2 linked regions of the Mytilus edulis genome follow. Each later gene encodes a partner of the first gene's protein in a complex. Links are inferred from orthologs where the notes say so. Each region holds a gene or a part of one and is shown on either strand. Other genes may lie near its edges. The genes, in order: dynein regulatory complex subunit 7-like and dynein regulatory complex protein 8-like.

Region 1 (9,985 bases):
TCGTATCAAATTCCATTATTTTTACAACGATGCGTGAACAAAACAGACATAATCAGTAAAATAGTCAAAATATGGTTACAGCAGTCATCACTGTGTATATTCTCTATATATCTTTTTGGTCTAGTATTGTTTATGTTATACATGTTTATTATGTTGAATGATGTCATTGAGCCAAAGGTCTAATGTTTTTTTCTTCCGATAGTATCAGGTCTGCACCATAATTGGATGAACAATGTTCTCTGGTTTTTCATCTGAACAGGCCAAAGCACTAGGGCACAGCTAAATAGATTGAAATTTTGGAAATTGGTGTCTGAAATTCTGAATGGATTAAAGGGGAACAACTGACGGTCACATAACAGGATATAAACATAAACATTGATATAAATAGACATGGTCCTCGTGCAAATGGATTTTTCTATGTCTCTTTGATTTCATGTTTTCGGTTAAAAAATAAGTTAATTTACAATTTTTCCTGTAAAAGAATGATTTTTTGTGGATCGAATCAGTCAATTAAATGATTCACCTTTGTTTCACTTTCAATGTTGACATTCTTTTCTTTCAGTAACCTAACACACTTCAATCATGTGTAATCCATCTCTATCTAAGGGGTTAAATTGAAGTTCGCATTAATACAAATTCAATGAAGTCGATTTATTTACTTGCAAGTGAATAACTAATCATCGAAGTTTTCATCACTTATTTTGACAAAATAGAACTACTGGCTGCTTAAATTGAATTATTATTTCACTGTTTCATTTTCATTAATGATTGAACAAAAAATTCAGAAATCAACTTTTGTCGAGCCTGCGATATTTGTTGCAGAAAGCTTGACATTGGGATAGTGAACCGGCGGCGGCAGCAACTTTAGCTAACTTCTTAAAAGGTTTATATTTTAGAAGGTGGAAGACCTGGATGCTTCATACTTTGTATATAGATGCCTCATGATACAAAGTTTCCATCAGTCACATGTCCAATGTCCTTGACCTCATTTTCATGGTTCAGTGACTACTTGAAAAAGTTAAAGATTTTTTGTAATGTTCAATTCTCTTATTATAAGTACTGTAAATTCAGAAATTATTGCGTGCATTTATTATTGCGATTTTGTCATTTTAGACTTAAATGTGGTTTTTATTTTTATGATTTTGACATTTTGAGAAAAATCCTGTTTAATTCATATAAAACATTTCAAAATGCGAGTTTAAATTATTGCGTTTACAACTCTGTTGCATTTTTCGCAATAATAAAAACCTCGCATTAATTTCTGAATTTTCAGTATTAGGATAACTGTATTTGGCATGTGCCTACCTTGCAAGGTCCTCATGCCCGTCAGTCATTTTTCTCTTGACCTCGACCTCGTTTCATGGATCAGTGAACAAGGTTAAGTTTTGGTGATCAAGTCCATATCTCAGATACTATAAGCAATATATAGGTCTAGTATATTCTGTGTATGGAAGCACTGTAAGGTGTACATTTCCAACTGGCAGGTGTCATCTGACCTTGACCTCATTTTCATGGTTCAGTGGTTATAGTTAAGTTTTGTGTTTTGGTCTGTTTTTCTTATACTGTATGCAAAAGGTCTACTTTATTTGGGGAATGGAATGATTGTAAGATGTACATGTCTAGCTGGCAGATAAGATCTGACCCTGACCTCATTTTCATGGTTTAGTAGTCAAAGTTAAGTTTTTGAATTTTGGTCTTTTTTTCTAATACTATATGCAATAGGTCAACTATATTTGGTGTATGGAAATATTTTATGATCTATATATCAGTCGTGCAGGTTTATTTTACCTTGACCTCATTTTCTTGGTTCATTGCTCAGTGTTAAGTTTTTGTGTTGGGTCTGTTTTTCTTAAACTATAAGCAATAGGTCAACTATATTTGTTGTATGGAAGAATTGTTAGCTGTACATGCCTGCCTGGCATGGTTCATTTGCCCTTTACCTCATTTTCGTGGTTCATTGGTCAATGTTTAGTTTTCTTGGTTAATGTTAAGTTTATATGACAGTTGTAATAAAGCTTTATATTAAGACTATCAATATAATATCAATGATTAGTAAAGAAGGCAAGACATTTCAGCGTGTGCACCCTTGTTTAGGTATCTTGTAGCTAAGTGACCCTTAAATGTTTTTTTTTTATCACTCACAATCTTTATCACACTTTGTAATATGACCTTCATTATAAGGAGCAACCATTTGAATTTATGGGGGGGGGGGGGGGGGGGGGCTATGGTTTTTTTTGGAAAAAAAAATTTGTTTCCATTTTTAGGAGAAAAAAATAATTTGTTTTTGATTCTGAGAAAAAAAATTTGTTTGTTTCACCCTCAGCTGCCACTATATGTAATGCTAAAATTGAAAGAAAAAAATTGTTTTCGACTTGGCGAAAAAAATAATTTGTCCAGAAAAAAAAACCATAGCCCCCCTCAGAAAATCAAATGGTTGCTGCCTAAATGCTCATCAATTTAAGTTTAACAGTGAAGTGCATTGGTTTTATTAGTCATGGAGGTCAAATGCTATAGATTTTAAAATATTTTATATTTCTTAGCATCATGATAAGATTTCCTTCCTGACAGGAATTTTCTGTGCTATTGTACATTTCACACAACAAATCCCGTCATCTTCTCCCCCTTAAGTAATCCTAGTCTTGGATAGGGAAAACAACCAAGACCCAAGGAATACAGATAGATATAAATTTTATGCAGAAAACATAAAAAAAAGACATGACAAATACAAATACAAAGATTTTTTATTATAGGATTAAACCGGGGCGATTAACTCACAAACTGAATAAAAGTCCTTATGTAAAGTTTGTGGCTAAGAGCCCCGTTTACACATCAATGACCTCTAGAAAAAATGTGTTTAATTCTTATAATTCTAAAGCCAAATATTCTCGATTTTTATTAACATTTTTTTTGGTGTAAAGCTACTATAATCACCATCACATGCACAACTGACAGGTCGTAACTAAGGAGTTGGCCGCCATCTTGACTTTCTATAATTCATTAATGTTCGATAAATGCAATGGAATCTAAAACAAAATAGCACCTTCCTCCGAAATTTCATTTTTAAAATGAGATATTATTCGAATTTGAAGCTAGACGTATTAAACGAAATGATCTTTCCCCTGAAAGTTTTCATTCGTATGACGTTGTGTTTTGCCATGACGACAATTCGCCAAATCCTTCATGAAATTTCGCAGAATTTTATTTAAATTAATTTTTATACATTTTCGTAGCTTTAGTGCATTCATTTAATTTCTTTTTTGTTATTATGCATTAGAATAGAAACAACTGTTATGCATTTGTTTTTTTAAATCTCAATTTGCTGAAATTCCCAGTATCCCTGCAAGAATGTGTATCACGCATGAATAGATTACGAAAGTAGATTTGGAAACATGGTTTATCGAAGTGTAAACCTAGAGAAAAATTCTAATTGACCAATTAAATTCAAGTATTTATAGATATGCAAATCATATAAGAATTATTGTCAAACATGATGCCCAATAATTTTAGCAGTCCAATTAAGTTCAATTTCATACAAGTGATTACATATTGATTACATTGATTATTTAACAATTAAACAAAATCAAGTCTTTCTCAGCAGAATAATTTCTACAGGAATAATATGTATAGTTTTACAATATAATATAGATGGACAAACTACTGGTGACGTAATTGTTTCTAGTATTTAATTTCTCTCTTTGAATAAAGTACACAATAAACTTACTTTTTAAATTATAACATTATCCTTAGATGACATTAACCATATTAATTTTGATTTAGTTGGGAGGCTTTTAAAGTTTTTGTTTACCTTATTTAAGTAATTTATATATTCAGATCTTTTATTTTCTAAAACAGGACACTGAAGAAGAAAATGAATTTCATCTTCAACTTCGGTGTTGCATAATTTACATATTCTATCCTCCACTCGAGGCCCCAAATATCTGCCTCTTTCAATTTCTAATTTATGTGCACTGACTCTGAACTTAGTGAGCAGTCACCTTTCATCGTCATTCAAAATTAATAAATATTTTTCCATACAAATATTTTCTTTACATAATCTGTAAGTTCTTAGTTTATTTCCATGCTGTTTATTTTGTCTATCATTGTAAAGTTCAGATTTCCAAATACAAGAATATTTCAGTTTTAATTTCCGGTAAATTAGGGATTTTAAATCCATCTTTGAATTTTTAACAAGTTTAAGATCTATATATCAAGATATTTCATAAGAATAACAATACAACTATACCAACTATTTTTGTTTAAACTATTTAGTGATGTAGAGACACTCAGAGCTTCAGAGAGAAGGATATCATCAGTCTTTAATACATATTTATAATATCTAAACATATTTAAAATTACTTCAAGAAATAAGGGACAAAACTATAATAGAAGAAGGGCGAAAGATACAAGAGGGACATTCAAACTCATAGATTAAAAAATAAACTGACAACGCCATGACTACAAGGCAATAGACAAACAGACAGACAATAGTACACAAAATACAAAAATAAAGACTAATCAACACTTACCCCACCAAAAACGGGGTATTAATCTCAAGTGCTCCTGAAAGGCACCCATTGTATTGTTTATGTTATTACAAACCCTGTAAAAAGTATAATTTTGGTAGTTATAATAATTGGGTTTTTTTTATCATTTCTTTCGTTTTTATATTAGATCTCCAGAGGTAATTACAAAAACAAACTGATTATAAAATAGTACTATTCTAACAAAAATGCTGAACTCCAGAGTAATGAAAAAAGATGAAGCTCACAAAACAGGACAAAAACGAACACCAACTAAGAATTTAACAAAATTAAACAATTCTGCACTATTCACATCATATTCATAAAAATTCAAAATAGATAACTTCAAAATTTAAGAGTAGTCTAGTGGTTTTAATTTTAAATATTTAGATTTTTTTTATATATAAAATTATAAACAATTATAATCCTGGTACTTTTGATAACTATTCCCAAACATAAAAAAAGACACCTACGTCCCTGGACTAAGTACTAGTCTTATTTAAATTTTCTGATTTGTAATATTTGAGATCAGAACTATGTCAAGCTTTTTTTGAAAGCTAACTTTGTAACTAAAACAAGGGAAATAACTGTAAAAGATTACCGGAAGTAAATTAATAGATTAATGCGCGACTATCTTTAATTAGCAATTAATTGTTTTATGATTTCCAGAAGTATTTTATGCAATTTAAATACCATGATTTGTTATGCTTTAAATTTTGACTAGCATTACGTACATATCTATTTTCTGAGCGATCATGATTTTTATATTGTCGATGCACTATATTTCAAAGAGAGTTTGTTGCTATGAGCGCGTATTGTGTTTAAATAATGAGTTGTTCGTCTCGTTTGTAAAATCATGGCTTCGGAGGACGAATTCGCTTTACCGAGTGAAGATACAAAGACCCCCGATCCAGATAAAGATGAAGATGAACTAGGAGAAGAAGCTGAAGGCAAAACAGCCGAAGAATTAACCGACGATGCTGAGGCGTTGAAAAAGGAGCTTGACAAAATAGTGGTGCATCCTCCAACGATTCAAGAGTAAGGCAATGTTTTGATGCATTATATCCATTGCCAAGAATAAGTTAAAGAGCGAATTGTAAATAAACAAATTAATAAAAAAAACTATGCCCTCAATATGGTCATCACCACAACTTAATTAGCTGACTGTCAGCATGGTTTTATATCTGTATCTGTATGGGTACGTCGTAGCTACCAATAGGGCTCTTCACGGTTAGTTCGGCCATATTGGATAGGGGGCAGATTTTTTGGAAGGAGGTGGAAATGGTATGAAAGTGTGGGAAATCCTATGTGTGTTTCCAAGCAACAGCTCTGTTTTAATGATGTTTTCCCGTATTTTTCACACCATTTTTACCTCTATTATGAAAATCTGCTCCCTATCCAATATGGCCGAACTAACCGTGAAGAGCCCTATTCTGGCTTTTATACAACGGGAGTGAAGGCGCCGTCGATTTATTGATGTTTCACCAGAGCAGATTTAAAGCTCTCTACACTTGTTGCGCGAACAATAGTGTCTTCTAGATGGTTCCAATTTACTATTGTGGACACAAAAAATGAATTTGAATGTTGCGGTGTTTTACTAGTAGGAATGTCAAAACACCTGGTATTGTTCCTCACATGTTTTTCAACTATGTTTGTGGCTTGAAAATTTTTAGCTGTGATGGTTCGTCTTGGTCTTGCTGATTTGAGGAAGTCGTCTGGATCAATAGCGGGGCTCATGCGTCTCAATTTTAGTTCCTGTAGCTCTATTTTTGTAAGCATGTTTGTTATGCAGCCTAGTTCTGTAGTCGCCTGTTATAAAGCGTGCTGCTTGCCTTTGTATTCGTTCTAGCTTGTTTGAAACTTGTATCTGTTCTGTTTTGATATCACAGGCACTTACTACTGCTAGTTGCTACATAAACTATCATATGATTCAAAGATACCAGGCTTATAATTTTGTATATCAAATATTTATCAGTAAAACCAGAATCAGAAAAGTGCCAAATAAAGAAAGAGTTTATAAAACTAATCCCACAGTGGATATCAAAAGACCAATATACATACAAATAAATTATATATACATGTATCCTTACATTGAGTGCATGCTTTATCTAGTTATTAGACCAGTCTTCACATCTAATGAATTTGATTTAATGCTGATTTTTTTCCAGACTAACAGCCCAGGAATTTGATCCAGCAGAATTCCCTGCTTCCTATAAAGACAATTTACCAAAAGAAAACTTGGTGCTACAATATGCAGAAAATTTTAGACTACAATATGTACACTTATACAGAGACAGGAAACCTCTTCTTCTCAACCCAATCAATGAATGTGGGACAGAGGTAATTAATTATGAATGAGGCTCTTACAAAATACATGTTTTTCTGCTATAAACCCGACCAACTCTAATCCTCAGATTATTTTGTTATTATTGCAAAAGCTCTTTTAAAATCAGATTGTTTTCCCTGTTTAAACCAGTTAAAAAATGCTTGAAAAATAAATTCATTCTCCTACATAACCTATTTTTCAGCATGATAACTGAATAAAACAGAAACCCAGGTATTACATGTACATGTAATATTATTTTGGTCAATAGATTAAATCACTTTTGTATAAGAATTTTCTAAAACCTGAATTATTAATTATATGACCACTGAGTTTGATATTTTTTTCTTGTATGTATGATGAGTTCACCATTGATCACTGCAAAAGAGAGTTTAGAAGGGTTTATTTAACAGGCTGTATTGCTTTCTTCATGTTAAAATTTCTATTTTATTTGTAAATTACATTTAATAAATGCATGTATGTATATATATATATTTTATTTGTGATTTTAGAAATTTGTATGTACAACCATCAGACCAACACAGATTGAATTTAAAGAATTTTACGGTTGGGAGGGAAGTTCAGAATTTGTTGCAGATTATCTGAATTTTGAGACATTAGAGCCTCCATATGAATTGGTAATTGTCATAATTTACAACAACAATTTTACATCAGTCAAATGGTAGTTTAAATTAACATCTTAATAATAAAAAAATTTATGTTTTATTTGGTTACAAGTCTCAATGATTTATTAAATTAAGTAGTAAATGCAGAGGTTTCATAATGCAAAATGTGAAAAATACAAAATATGAAATTTATTAGTTTGACTCATGTCATTTATTGACAAATTTATGTTATTAAATATCCAAATAGTAAAAATGTGCATTATAATCATTTTGATGTGAACCAATCCAATGAAAAATGTGTTGAGTTTCTGATTTAACAGTATTATTTTTTGTACTTTTATTACATCAAGTCAAGATTTAACCATAGATTATTTTTTTGTTAGTAACTATATTCTTTAAGCTTCAAAATATAATAAACTTGTGTAAAGATATAACATCCCATAAAAGAGAAACTTACCAGTACTCTTGATCAATATAAATCATAAAGAATACATTTTCTGTCCTAACAAAATTAAGACTTATATGGTTCTAGAGTCAGGATAGAGATGCCATAACATTTTATATTTGATTACTTGTTTCATTTGAAAAAATAAATGGTAGTGATAACATTGAATTGTATTGATATCTTTGTCTTTTTTTCCAGCCAAAGAGGTTGATATCGCCACCATCTGTTTTAAAACGTCAGAAAGGGAATTGTTTTGAGTACAGTACATTGCTGTGTTCCCTGTTAGCTGGAGCCGGTTACGATTCTTACGTTGTCAGCGGGTATGCTACACATGAGACATGTCTCGCAGACGAATCGAGGGAGATCTGTCCACTGATGAAAAAGAAAGAAGAGGTTTGAATATATATAAAATAAATATATAAAATGAATATATATATAAAATGAATACATATAAAATGGATATATATAAAAATGAATATATATAAAATGAATATATATAAAATGAATATATAAAATACAATACCACTTAATTGAAAAATTACAATATTCTGTTTTTTTAAACTTCGAGCAGAACAGACTGTCTTAATATTATTTATACCTTTAGAAAATGTAACTTATTGTTAAAATGCAGAACTTTGTTCTTGCACATTCATCATTTGTGTTATTTTGTCAAAAATTTTGTACTGTATACAAGGAAACTTCTGTTTGCTGGTTATTTTTATGCCCCACTTACGATAGTAGAGGGGCATTATGTTTTCTGGTCTGTTCGTTTGTCCGTTTCGTCTGTCCCGCTTCAGGTTAAAGTTTTTTGTCAAGGTAGTTTTTGATGAAGTTGAAGTCCAATCAACTTGAAACTTAGTATACATGTGCCCTATGGTATGATCTTTCTAATTTAAATGCCAAATTAGAGTTTTGACCCCAATTTTACGGTTCACTGGACATAGAAAATGATAGTGCGAATTTCAGGTTAAAGTTTTTGGTCAAGGTAGTTTTTGATAAAGTAGAAGTCCAATCAACTTGAAACTTAATATACATGTTCCCTTTGATAAGATCATTCTAATTTTAATGCCAAATTAGAGAATTTATTCCAATTTCACGGTCCACTAAACATAGAAAATTATAGTGCGAGTGGGGCATCCATGTATTGTGGACACGTTCTTGTTTTTTATTTAATTCACAATCATATAAAATATGTGTCATAATCATTCTTGAAAGGGTTTACAGATAGACTCAATATTGATTTGCATTAAAAATGTATCATTAACGCGAGAATTTAGTACTCACATGGAAATTAAGATGCTGAAATTATCAACAGTTTTAACCTTTACAATATATAAATGTGCATGTATGTTTTGAGTATAATACATTTCCTAAGCAACATTCAATTATGTCATACACATCATTATAAATTTACCAAAACCAGTGAAACAACAATTTAAACTTTCGATTTAATATTTATTTGGATAAACAGAAAAAAGAAGAAGAGAAGAAAAAAGAAATAAAGAAATATACAGTTAAACCTCCTCGTGATTTGAGGAGTAAATTTGAATTGAAGCAGGCGGCCAAAGAAAAAGCTGAAAAAGAAGCAGAGGAAGAGAAAAGGAGAAAAGAGGAAGAAGACAAAATTGCTGTAAATATTTTAATATTTTGTAAAGTTGGTCATCATTTATAAAATTGTTTTATTGACAGTTTAGTAAATTTTGGGAAAGGTAACAAAAGACTAGTCAGTGTTTCTATATTAACATTAGCTAATAAAAGATGCATGGCTATGCTAACAAATAAGAATAATTTAACTGTCTTATAGCTGCACAACCTAATATTCAAGCATTAAAAAGTAAAATAAGTCCAAAGTGATCTATTTCGACATTAAAAGTTAAACTGATCAAAATTTTAAAAATTCCAAATTTCCATTCAATAAAAGGATATTATACAATTACTGTCTTTTGATGATGTAAATATGTAGTTTTATTGACTTTTGAAACACAGAGATTCACTGAGGCCAAAAGTCAATTAAACCACATATTTACCTAAACAAAAGACAGTAATTGTTTTATTCTATATTCCAAAAGAA
Region 2 (10,095 bases), about 89 Mb from region 1:
GAATGTTATCGTTGTGTTCCTCATTTTGCATTCTTTGGGAATGTTATCGTTGTGTTCTTCATTTTGCATTGTTTGGGAATGTTATCGTTGTGTTTCTCCATTTGCATTGTTTGGGAATGTTATTGTTGTGTTCTTCATTTTGCATTGTTTGGGAATGTTAACGTTGTGTATCTCATTTTGCATTGTTTGGGAATGTTATCGTTGTGTTTCTCATTTTGCATTGTTTGGGAATGTTATCGTTGTGTTTCTCCATTTGCATTGTTTGGGAATGTTAACGTTGTGTTCTGCATTTTGCATTGTTTATGGTGTTATCGTTATGTTCTTCATTTTGCATTGTTTATGGTGTTATCGTTGTGTTCTTCTGTTCTTCATTTTGCATTGTTTATGGTGTTATCGTTGTGCTCTTTATGTTGCATTATTCGTGGTGGTATCGTTATATTCTTCATTTTGCATAGTTCGTGGTGATATTGTTATGTTCTTCATTTTTCATTGTTCTTTGTGTTATCGTTATGTTCTTCATCGTGCAATGTTTGGGGTGTTATCGTTTTGTTTTTCAAATTGCATTGTTCGTGGTGTTGTCGTTTTGTTCTTCATTTTGCATTGTTGTAGTGTTGTTGATATGTTCTTCATTTTGCATTGTTCATGATGTTATCGTTATGTTCTTCATTTTGCATTGTTTTGGGTGTTGTCTGTATAATATTCTTTTGTTTTTGCTTTGTTCGTGTTGACCAGAACAATTTGTACAAACTTGTAAATGCAGAAAAACAAAAGAACCAATAACGTTCCTTCAAACGAGGTGATGTTAGTCATCATATATACAAGTCGTACAGTCTGTGTTACGTGTTCCATCTTAGACCAGAGCTGAGCGCTCAAACAATCATGTTTAACCCGCAACATTCCTTGTGTGCCTGTCTGAAGGTCAGAAAATATAAGTCATATTTGTTGTTGGTTGATGTTCCCAAAAATATTTTAGCACATAGCATAACTGTAGTTGAAATCAGGTCGTTGATGTTCTCTTTAGAATGTTTGCACATTTAGAAATTAGGTGTCTGTTATGGTTTACTTTATACACGGTTAAATGTGAGTTTTTTGGTGTTTATGGCTATTTGTTTCATTGGCAATCATAACACATCTTCTTATTTCTATATAAATCGTGTTCATGAAAAGATTGCGTTTGAAGTTATATTAGAAATGTTTGATATGATTATCACCAATATTCTATGCATTTAAAAAAAAAAAGAAAAGAACCTTATAATTTTTCTCAGCAACACAATTTCAATTCAGAGGGAATACAACCTGTAATTAGTTGTCATTGTCGTTTTTTTTTTCTTTCTTATTTTCTTTTCTTTTCTTTTATTGTTTTGAATTGTATTTAGACAATATACGTATAGTGTCTTGAAATATGAAATTTATTTGTATGAGGCTTAGAAACGGGAAAATGCGAGGTTCTACATTGATTCGGCAAAATATCCTTATCGTGATTCGTCAGAAGTGTTATATTAAGGTATATAGGGGGATCTGAGACAAATACCTGTGATGGCAACAGCAGAGGCGGATTTAGGGGGGGCCCAGGGGGCCCGGCCCCCCCCCTTTTTGGGGAAAAAATTTGGTTGCTTATATAGGGAATCACTGAAGCGTGACTGGAGCGGGCCCCCTCTTAGGTCAGTCAGTGGGCCCCCACTTATGAAAATTTCTGGATCCGCCACTGAACAAGGAAGTTTATTCCATGTCCATATTCTCCCTTTGTCAATATCAACTTTAATAGCAGTTTCTTCCGATTGAATTATTGTTCTTTAAAATAAATTTAGCAGAACTTCGGTTGTTTTTCGAAAGAGGATTTCTGATTGTCAAATTGTAGAAATGTCAATTTTGTACCTGTAAATCTGAAAATATTGATTTCTTTCTTATTGATCTCTATCATGAAAGTATGTCTGATTTAGGTCCTATATATACTCATCGTCTCTTGTTCGTTGTGGAGGTTTGCAATGTCAGGTAGGCACGACTTGCCTGTTATCTTTAGCCTTTGGCACTACCTGACAATGTAAAATCTTCGTTTTGACATACGGAACATATAAGTTCTTGGGGACAGAACAGTTACAAGATTTTTTTTTTGTTAACCTTTTTTTCTCTAAATCCGTTAGGTTTTGGTTTTCCATTTATTTCAATAAGTTTCGTGCTTTGCAAATCAATATGAACATAAATATGCTAGAAATAACTTTAATTTGCTGTTTCCTATCAATTCCTAGTTTATTCTCCATGTGCGATCAGTGATAATATAAAAAACATGTTAATTATTTAATTGAGAAAATTTAATCGAATAGAAATCTAATCAAAAATTATTCATGGAATTAGAAAAAAAAACCATTTTAACTGCTTTATAATATAATAAGATGTGATGATTTTAACGATCTTGTAATGTAACTGATAAAATTAAACACCACAAAAATATGAAAATATTTTAAAATTGAAATCTTTTTTATTTTAAAATATAATTTGGTGCCGAATTGACCATGAATGTGGAATGCTATATTGAGTATATATGTCTTTTTAAGTATATATAGATATATAAACATTTTATTCATCATTGTGCGAAGTGTTCCTTTGAAGGAGAGATTTTCTTAACCAGAACAGAATACATTTTTAGACTCCTAAATTCGTGAAGCAGGCCAAATCGCCCCACTGGCAAATCGCCCCAACTCGCCCCTTAAAAAAACTAATCTACACAGAATGCAAAAAAAAAAGAAAATTTATTTTATTATTATTATTGAAATCAAATGATGTTTTACTAAATCTGAAATTATAATTCTAAATATTAAGGATTTCAATTAACAGCAATTTGTTATCATAGCACTTACTTTGAGTCCAAATAATAATGACGTCTGGCAAGGCTATTTTTTTTCTTTCTGCGACGCCTTCCTACGTAATAGCCTTGTCAGACGTCATAATTATTTGGACTAAGCATTTACCGGATTGGTTACTTTTGTCTTTGAATCATTGAAGTTAAGAATAATCCAACCCTAACGAGCAATCATTGAAGACAAATGTTACTTTCAAGTAAATATTAGAGAGAATGCCCATTCGTTCATTTACAAAAAAAATGAAAACAGAATCGCATAGTAAAATTAATAAACAGTACAGGGAAACAAAAAAACTGATTCAGAAAGAGACAAGAAAAGCTTATTGGACATATCTGGAAAACATCATTTGTTACGACGAAAGCTTACAAACCTCGCAAAAACAGAAACAAAATTGGAATTATATTAGGTCCACCAAAAAAGACAGTTCGGGAGTTGCACAATTAAGATCTGAGGGTATGCTGATAGACGACACAAAACAAAAAGCTGAAATACTCAATAAACAAAACCACTCTGTTTTTACACCTGAAAATAATAAAAAAAAAAAAAAAAAAAAAAAATACCAACTCTATCAGACAACTTTCTATCTATGGCCGAAATTCATGTTACACCAAATGGCATAGAAAAACTTTTGAAAAATCTTGATACATCTAAAGCTACAGGTCCAGACGAAATACCAGCACGCATTCTTAAACAATTTGCACCTGAATTTGCACCTCATCTCGCTTTCATCTTCAATACATCTTTCTTGAAAGGAGATGTGTCAACAGACTGGAGACAGGCAAATGTGATCCCTATTTTAAAAAAAAAGGCGAAAAATACCTAGCCAGTAACTACAGACCTGTCTCCCTAACCTGCATTTGCTGCAAACTGCTTGAACACATTGTTGTAAGTAACATACTGAAACATCTGGACACACATAACATCCTTGTGGATAATCAACATGGCTTCAGATCTAAACGCAGCTGTGAAACACAACTACTTACTTTATGTCATGAACTACTTAGTAACCTCCATCATGGCGTACAAACCGATCTTATTATTTTAGACCTTTCCAAGGCATTTGACAAGGTACATGTACCTCACAAAAAAACTATTAAGGAAGATGGATAACTATGGCATAAGAGGAAATACCTGGAATTGCCGGGGTCCTTAATAACAGAACGCAACAGGTTGCCCTTGACGGAGAGGTATCTAGTCAAATGCCTGTGGTAAGTGGGGTGCCCCATGGCTCAGTCTTGGGTCCACTACTTTTTCTCATCTTCATTAATGACCTACCTGCAGCAGTAACACCAAAAACACGCTTGTTTGCAGATGATGGTATCTTATACAGAAACATAACAAATCACCAAGATAGTACCATACTACAAATTGACCTAAACTGCCTAGCCAAATGGGAACAAACTTGGGGTATGCAATTCCATCCAGAAAAATGCAACTCTCTCACTGTGACAAGATCACAGTCACCATTCAAACATGACTACGTATTAAAAGGCCACATTTTAGAATCCGTCAGCACAATTATCTCGGTATCACCCTTTCTCACAACATGTCTTGGGACACACATATCAACAACATTACTGCAAAAGCAAATAAGATCTTAGGCTTTCTTAAAAGAAACTTAAAAATAAACCAGGAAGAAACAAAAAGTTTAGCATACAAATCCATGGTACGTTCGAATTTAGAATACTGCTCTTCAGTTTGGTCCCCTCACACCCAAAAACAAAAAAAAAACAACATTGAAAAAGTACAAAGAAGGGCAGCACGCTACGTCACCAACAGGTACCACAACACCAGTAGTGTCACTCCCATGATTGACTATCTTCAATGGAAGTCACTTGAAACTCGCAGAAACATCAATCGAGTAACTATGCTGTACAAAATCTCACACCATCTCATTGCAGTAGACCCAAACCTTTACCTTTTACCACAGCCAGTCAAAAACACCAGATTCACTAATTCATTACAATACCAAACATTTAACACAAGAACAGATTACTTCAAGTACAGCTTTTTTCCATTCACAGTTGTACTGTGAAATTCACTTCCACAAAACGTCATCAGTGTTAACTCCCTGGATCAGTTTAAAATACTGATCCAGAGTCAGTATATTTAGATATCCAACCTGTTTGTAAATATGTAAATGTGTTAATTTTTGTTTTGTTTTTGCACAAAATTATTTTTGAATTATTGCACTCATTGGTTATTACATTTTATTAAGTGTCTGTTTGCGATGCGCCGACGTATAGTCATCAATGTAATGATGGATCGTCGTATGATGTAGATGAAGATGTACAATAAGCGTGGGTCTTGTTTTTGTTAGTAAAAAGACAAGGCAGGTTTTATTGTTGATGAAAATTTGATTGGTAAGTTTTTTTTATGGTTTGAAAACATACATAAATGAGAAATTTATAAGTGGGGCGAGTTGGCATTAATAATTTTTTATCGTGGTTTTTCTATTTGTCATGATTCAGATTGGGGCTAGTTGGCAGACCTTAAGGATTTTAACCCTTTTCATAATTGGGACAATTTATCCAACCTATTTTCAATAGAATTTTACCCTTTTCATAAGTGGGGCGAGTTGGTAAACCAGAGTGGGGCGATTTGTGGAAAAGTGGTGCGATTAGGTGTGGGGCGATTTTCCAGTGGGACGATTTGTCATTGATTCCTAAATTCGTTTTCCCTACAAATCGCACTTGTCACAGGGGGAGATAATTACAAGTCAAGGTCACTGATTAGCAACCAATATAAACAAGATGGGTGATGCTGAACAGAAGGAAAACGCGGGTAGGAATTCACAATCACGATCCCATCATTATTAAACAACTTCTCCATAAATATATACCCTTACTGATGAAGGTCGAGGAAATAAATTTGCAGTTTTGAATCATAAATTATCCTAATATTTGTATGAAACTTTCACGAGAACCAATTTTTTTTTTATATTGTTATTATTTTCAGATGCACAGCTTGCTGGTAGTTGTATAAATTAAAGCAACAGCAGGATAACGATAAGCAATTGAACTAAATCGATCCAGCAAAAACAAACTGGTTAAAACTAAAACCCAGGGGAAACACATCGGAAACACATCAACGACATATATGATATAGGAGGAAAACAACTGAAAAAAAAAACCAAACATGTATGATACAAAAAAAGGACTAATTGATAACAACTACCATATTCCTGACTGGATACAGAACATTTTAAGAAATAAATAGTTGGCTGAACCTTGTATTATGGTTAGCAAAAACTTGTGGTTTTATGGTTTATAGCCAAAACTCATGCTAAATAAATATATGCCACTGTTAAAAATACAACTAAACAGACAACATTTTGTAAAGGATGGGTCTCAATTTGGGTCCAAGTTGACACGATTTGGCCAATTTTTTTAAGCCTGACACATGAATGTCTCATATTTAAGTGTGAAAAAGGGATACAAAGTCTAGCGGGACATTGGAAATTACATGAGTTATTACGGCAAAGAGAAACCTAAAACAGGATTCTCACTAAACAATTTGCGGGATCTTGGATCAGACCCCCTTCACAAATGTGACCCCCTATAAGGAATACATTACAAATTAAAACAGGAACAATTTATAATAGAACAGAGATATACATGTGGTAATTTTAAGATATTAATTTGAAAGATCAGACACACCATTAGGTGGTGTCACCATGTGCACAATATTCTTTTTAACAGTATGTAACTATAGTAAGTAATGAATCTAAAGGAGCTGAAATTGAAATGACATTATCTTTTACAAAGGGGGTGTTGGTAAGTAATATGTTTGGTCATGTTGGTAAATGTATGTTTGCTTTGTTTTTGCAAAGAATTTTTTATACATATATTACATAAATACAAGACAAATAAAATTAAAGCTTCTCAATTATATAATTGCAATAAAACCAAGATCAGCCAGGAGCCTAAAATTTTGCTGGCAAAACGATGATTTAAATCTTTAAAAAAATTTGAGAATCTCTAAAATCTAAATCTACCTGGCCGACTACTTCATAGCAAAGTATTAACATTCAAAACAATTCAAATAGTAATCTTAGCCTCTGTTTGAATTATCATTTTACAACGATTTTTATCTCGCATAATCTGTGGAATTTTTATATTCATTGACTAAAAATTGAAAAATAAAAGGGTAGAAGGACAGCTGATGGATAATGTGATTGCAAATGTACGACACATGGCCAGCTTGTGATCAGCATTATATTCGACAAAAATCTCTTATGTTTGTATTGTAATATCATTATGTGTACTGAATCAAAATAAAACATTTATATTCAGCAGTGGATTTTATTCAGGTCCATTTCTTAATAAAGAAGATATCTATTATATAAAAAAAGAAAGAAGTTTGCTCCACATATCTTCATTTATAAGCTTATATCTTTCACAGGAATCCCAATTTACAACTGACATGATGTTCTTGACATTCACAAATGTTTTACAAAATAATGACAAGTTGTGATATAAATTATATTGTACAGTCATGTGGAATTCATCAGATAAACTGGACTTTAAAAACTAAATTAAGGCAGCTTCACATGAAATGAAGGCAATCATGATATACCTAGCCTACTACTGGATGTCCAAGGAACACATTTTATTTAAGTTTAATTTAAAGTTGACAGTATGAATGAATAAATAAATAACAACTATATATTGTCTAAAGCTTTATTAAGATTTTTCAATAATTACATTTGTACAATATCATATGAAACAACTGCAAGTATATTTTTTTGTTGCATATACAAAAAAATTCTCTTAAGCAGGAAAACACCATGCAACCAAAACGTTTCCGAATTTCACTTCTCAAAGAAATTGGCCACTTCTCCATACTCTCTCATGGAAGCAGTTCTCCCTCTCCAAAACTAGATTAGACCCTTAAGATAACATCCCTTTCAGTATACATTAAATACTGTTAGATAGTTTATGCCCTTTTGAAGTTTTGGTTCTATGCCTAACCGTTTTATGCATTTGCCTTCTGAACTTTTTTGGTCTTGAGCTACCTATTAAAGGTTATTCCAGAAACATTTGTACTTTTAAAATTAAGAATGTTATGGTACAGTCATTTTCCTTCGGAAAGTGATTAGTTCAACCAGTTTTTACAGCATTATCAGGGGTTGGTCCAGGATTTGAGTTTTAGGGTGTAAACCTTATAATTTTGCCAACCTCTGAGCAAGTTAGATTTTTTTTCTATTTTTAGTATGCCCAAGTTTAATTTTTTCCATTTTAAGGGTTCCACAAAGGCGTACTTAAACCCTACCTGACTTTGCCCATGATTAAACCAGTAACAAAATGTGCAGTCTTTAAAGTTTCATTGTTTTGCATTTGCTGTGAATGCTTGTTAATGTTGCTGATTCATGAATATTCTGTTATTTACATGTTTTGACACTAAAGTCAATTGTGTGATGTTTTTATACGACCGCAAAATTTGAAAAATTTTTCGTCGTATATTGCTATCACGTTGGCGTCTGCGTCGTCGTCGTCGTCCGGCGTCCGAATACTTTTAGTTTTCGCACTCTAACTTTAGTAAAAGTGAATGGAAATCTATGAAATTTTAACACAAGGTTTATGACCACAAAAGGAAGGTTGGTATTGATTTTGGGAGTTTTGGTCCCAACATTTTAGGAATTAGGGGCCAAAAAGGGCCCAAATAAGCATTTTCTTGGTTTTCGCACTATAACTTTAGTTTAAGTTAATAGAAATCTATGAAATTTTGACACAAGGTTTATGACCACAAAAGAACGGTTGGGATTGATTTTGGGAGTTTAGGTTTCAACAGTTTAGGAATTAGGGGCCAAAAAAGGGCCCAAATAAGCATTATTCTTGGTTTTCGCACAATAACTTTAGTTTAAGTAAATAGAAATCAATGAAATTTGAACACAATGTTAATGACCACAAAAGGAAGGTTGGTATTGATTTTGAGAGTTTAGGTCCCAACAGTTTAGGAATTAGGGGCCAAAAAGGGACCCAAATAAGCATTTTTCTTGGTTTTTGCACCATAACTTTAGTATAAGTAAATAGAAATCTATGAAATTTAAACACAAGGTTTATGACCATAATAGGAAGGTTGGGTTTGATTTTGTGAGTTTTGGTCCTAACAGTTTAGGAATAAGGGGCCCAAAGGGTCCAAAATTGAACTTTGTGTGATTTCATCAAAAATTGAACAATTGGGGTTCTTTGATATGCCGAATCTAACTATGTATGTAGATTCTTAATTTTTGGTCCCGTTTTCAAATTGGTCTACATTAAGGTCCAAAGGGTCCAAAATTAAACTTAGTTTGATTTTACAAAAATTGAATCCTTGGGGTTCTTTGATATGCTGAATTTAAAAATGTACTTAGATTTTTAATTATTGGCCTAGTTTTCAAGTTGGTCCAAATGGTGTTCCAAAATTAAACTTTGTTTGATTTCATCAAAAATTGAATAAATGGGTTCTTTGATATGCCAAATCTAACTGTGTATGTAGATTCTTAATTTTTGGTCCAGTTTTCAAATTGGTCTACATTAAGGTCCAAAGGGTCCAAAATTAAACTAAGTTTGATTTTAACAAAAATTAAATTCTTGGGCTTATTTGATATGCTTTATCTAAATATGTACTTTGATTTTTGATTATGGGCCCAGTTTTCAAGTTGGTCCAAATCAGGATTCCATATCAAGTATTGTGCGATAGCAAGAAATTTTCAATTTGCACAGTATTGCACAATAGCAAGAAATATCTAATTGCACAATATTGTACTATAGCAATTAATTTTCAATTGGAGTTATCTTTCTTTGTATAGAATAGTAGTTGATAATATATGTTGGAAATTTGCCAGACATGACTATGATGTCATTTTCTATTTTTATTTGCCAATAACTTTATGTAAATAACTTCATTGGAAATTTGCCAATATAAAATGTTGCTGATGAAGCTTTTTTTCCTTATCTTATCTAAAATGTTTTTAGATAATGTATGTTGGACATTTGCCAGACATGACTATGATGTCATTTTCTATTTTTATTTGCCAATAACTTTATGTAAATAACTTCAATTTGCCAATATAAAATGTTGCTGATGAAGTTTTTTTTTATTGTTTTATACAATAAACAATGTATATTCACTTTTACTACCACCCAATCTTTACCATTCAGTGATAACAAGCACTTTATTTTACATTTTAATATTTTATGATGTATTTAAAAGAGTAGTTATTGTTGCAAACTCCATTAGAAATTTGAATTGA

Evidence for each region.
Region 2: dynein regulatory complex subunit 7-like (region 1) and dynein regulatory complex protein 8-like share a complex: the UniProt entries of both Homo sapiens proteins name them as parts of the nexin-dynein regulatory complex. The link is inferred for Mytilus edulis from reciprocal best matches to the Homo sapiens genes DRC7 and DRC8.

Annotation. Positions count from the first base shown.
Region 1 is NC_092346.1:2,213,135-2,223,119, reverse strand, and holds the start of dynein regulatory complex subunit 7-like, read left to right. Parts: upstream 1-5,336; 5' UTR 5,337-5,376; coding exon 5,377-5,558; intron 5,559-6,688; coding exon 6,689-6,860; intron 6,861-7,355; coding exon 7,356-7,481; intron 7,482-8,112; coding exon 8,113-8,307; intron 8,308-9,385; coding exon 9,386-9,544; intron 9,545-9,985. UniProt on the Homo sapiens protein: Component of the nexin-dynein regulatory complex (N-DRC) a key regulator of ciliary/flagellar motility which maintains the alignment and integrity of the distal axoneme and regulates microtubule sliding in motile axonemes.
Region 2 is NC_092346.1:91,314,449-91,324,543, reverse strand, and holds the start of dynein regulatory complex protein 8-like, read left to right. Parts: upstream 1-5,537; 5' UTR 5,538-5,611; coding exon 5,612-5,642; intron 5,643-10,095. UniProt on the Homo sapiens protein: Component of the nexin-dynein regulatory complex (N-DRC), a key regulator of ciliary/flagellar motility which maintains the alignment and integrity of the distal axoneme and regulates microtubule sliding in motile axonemes.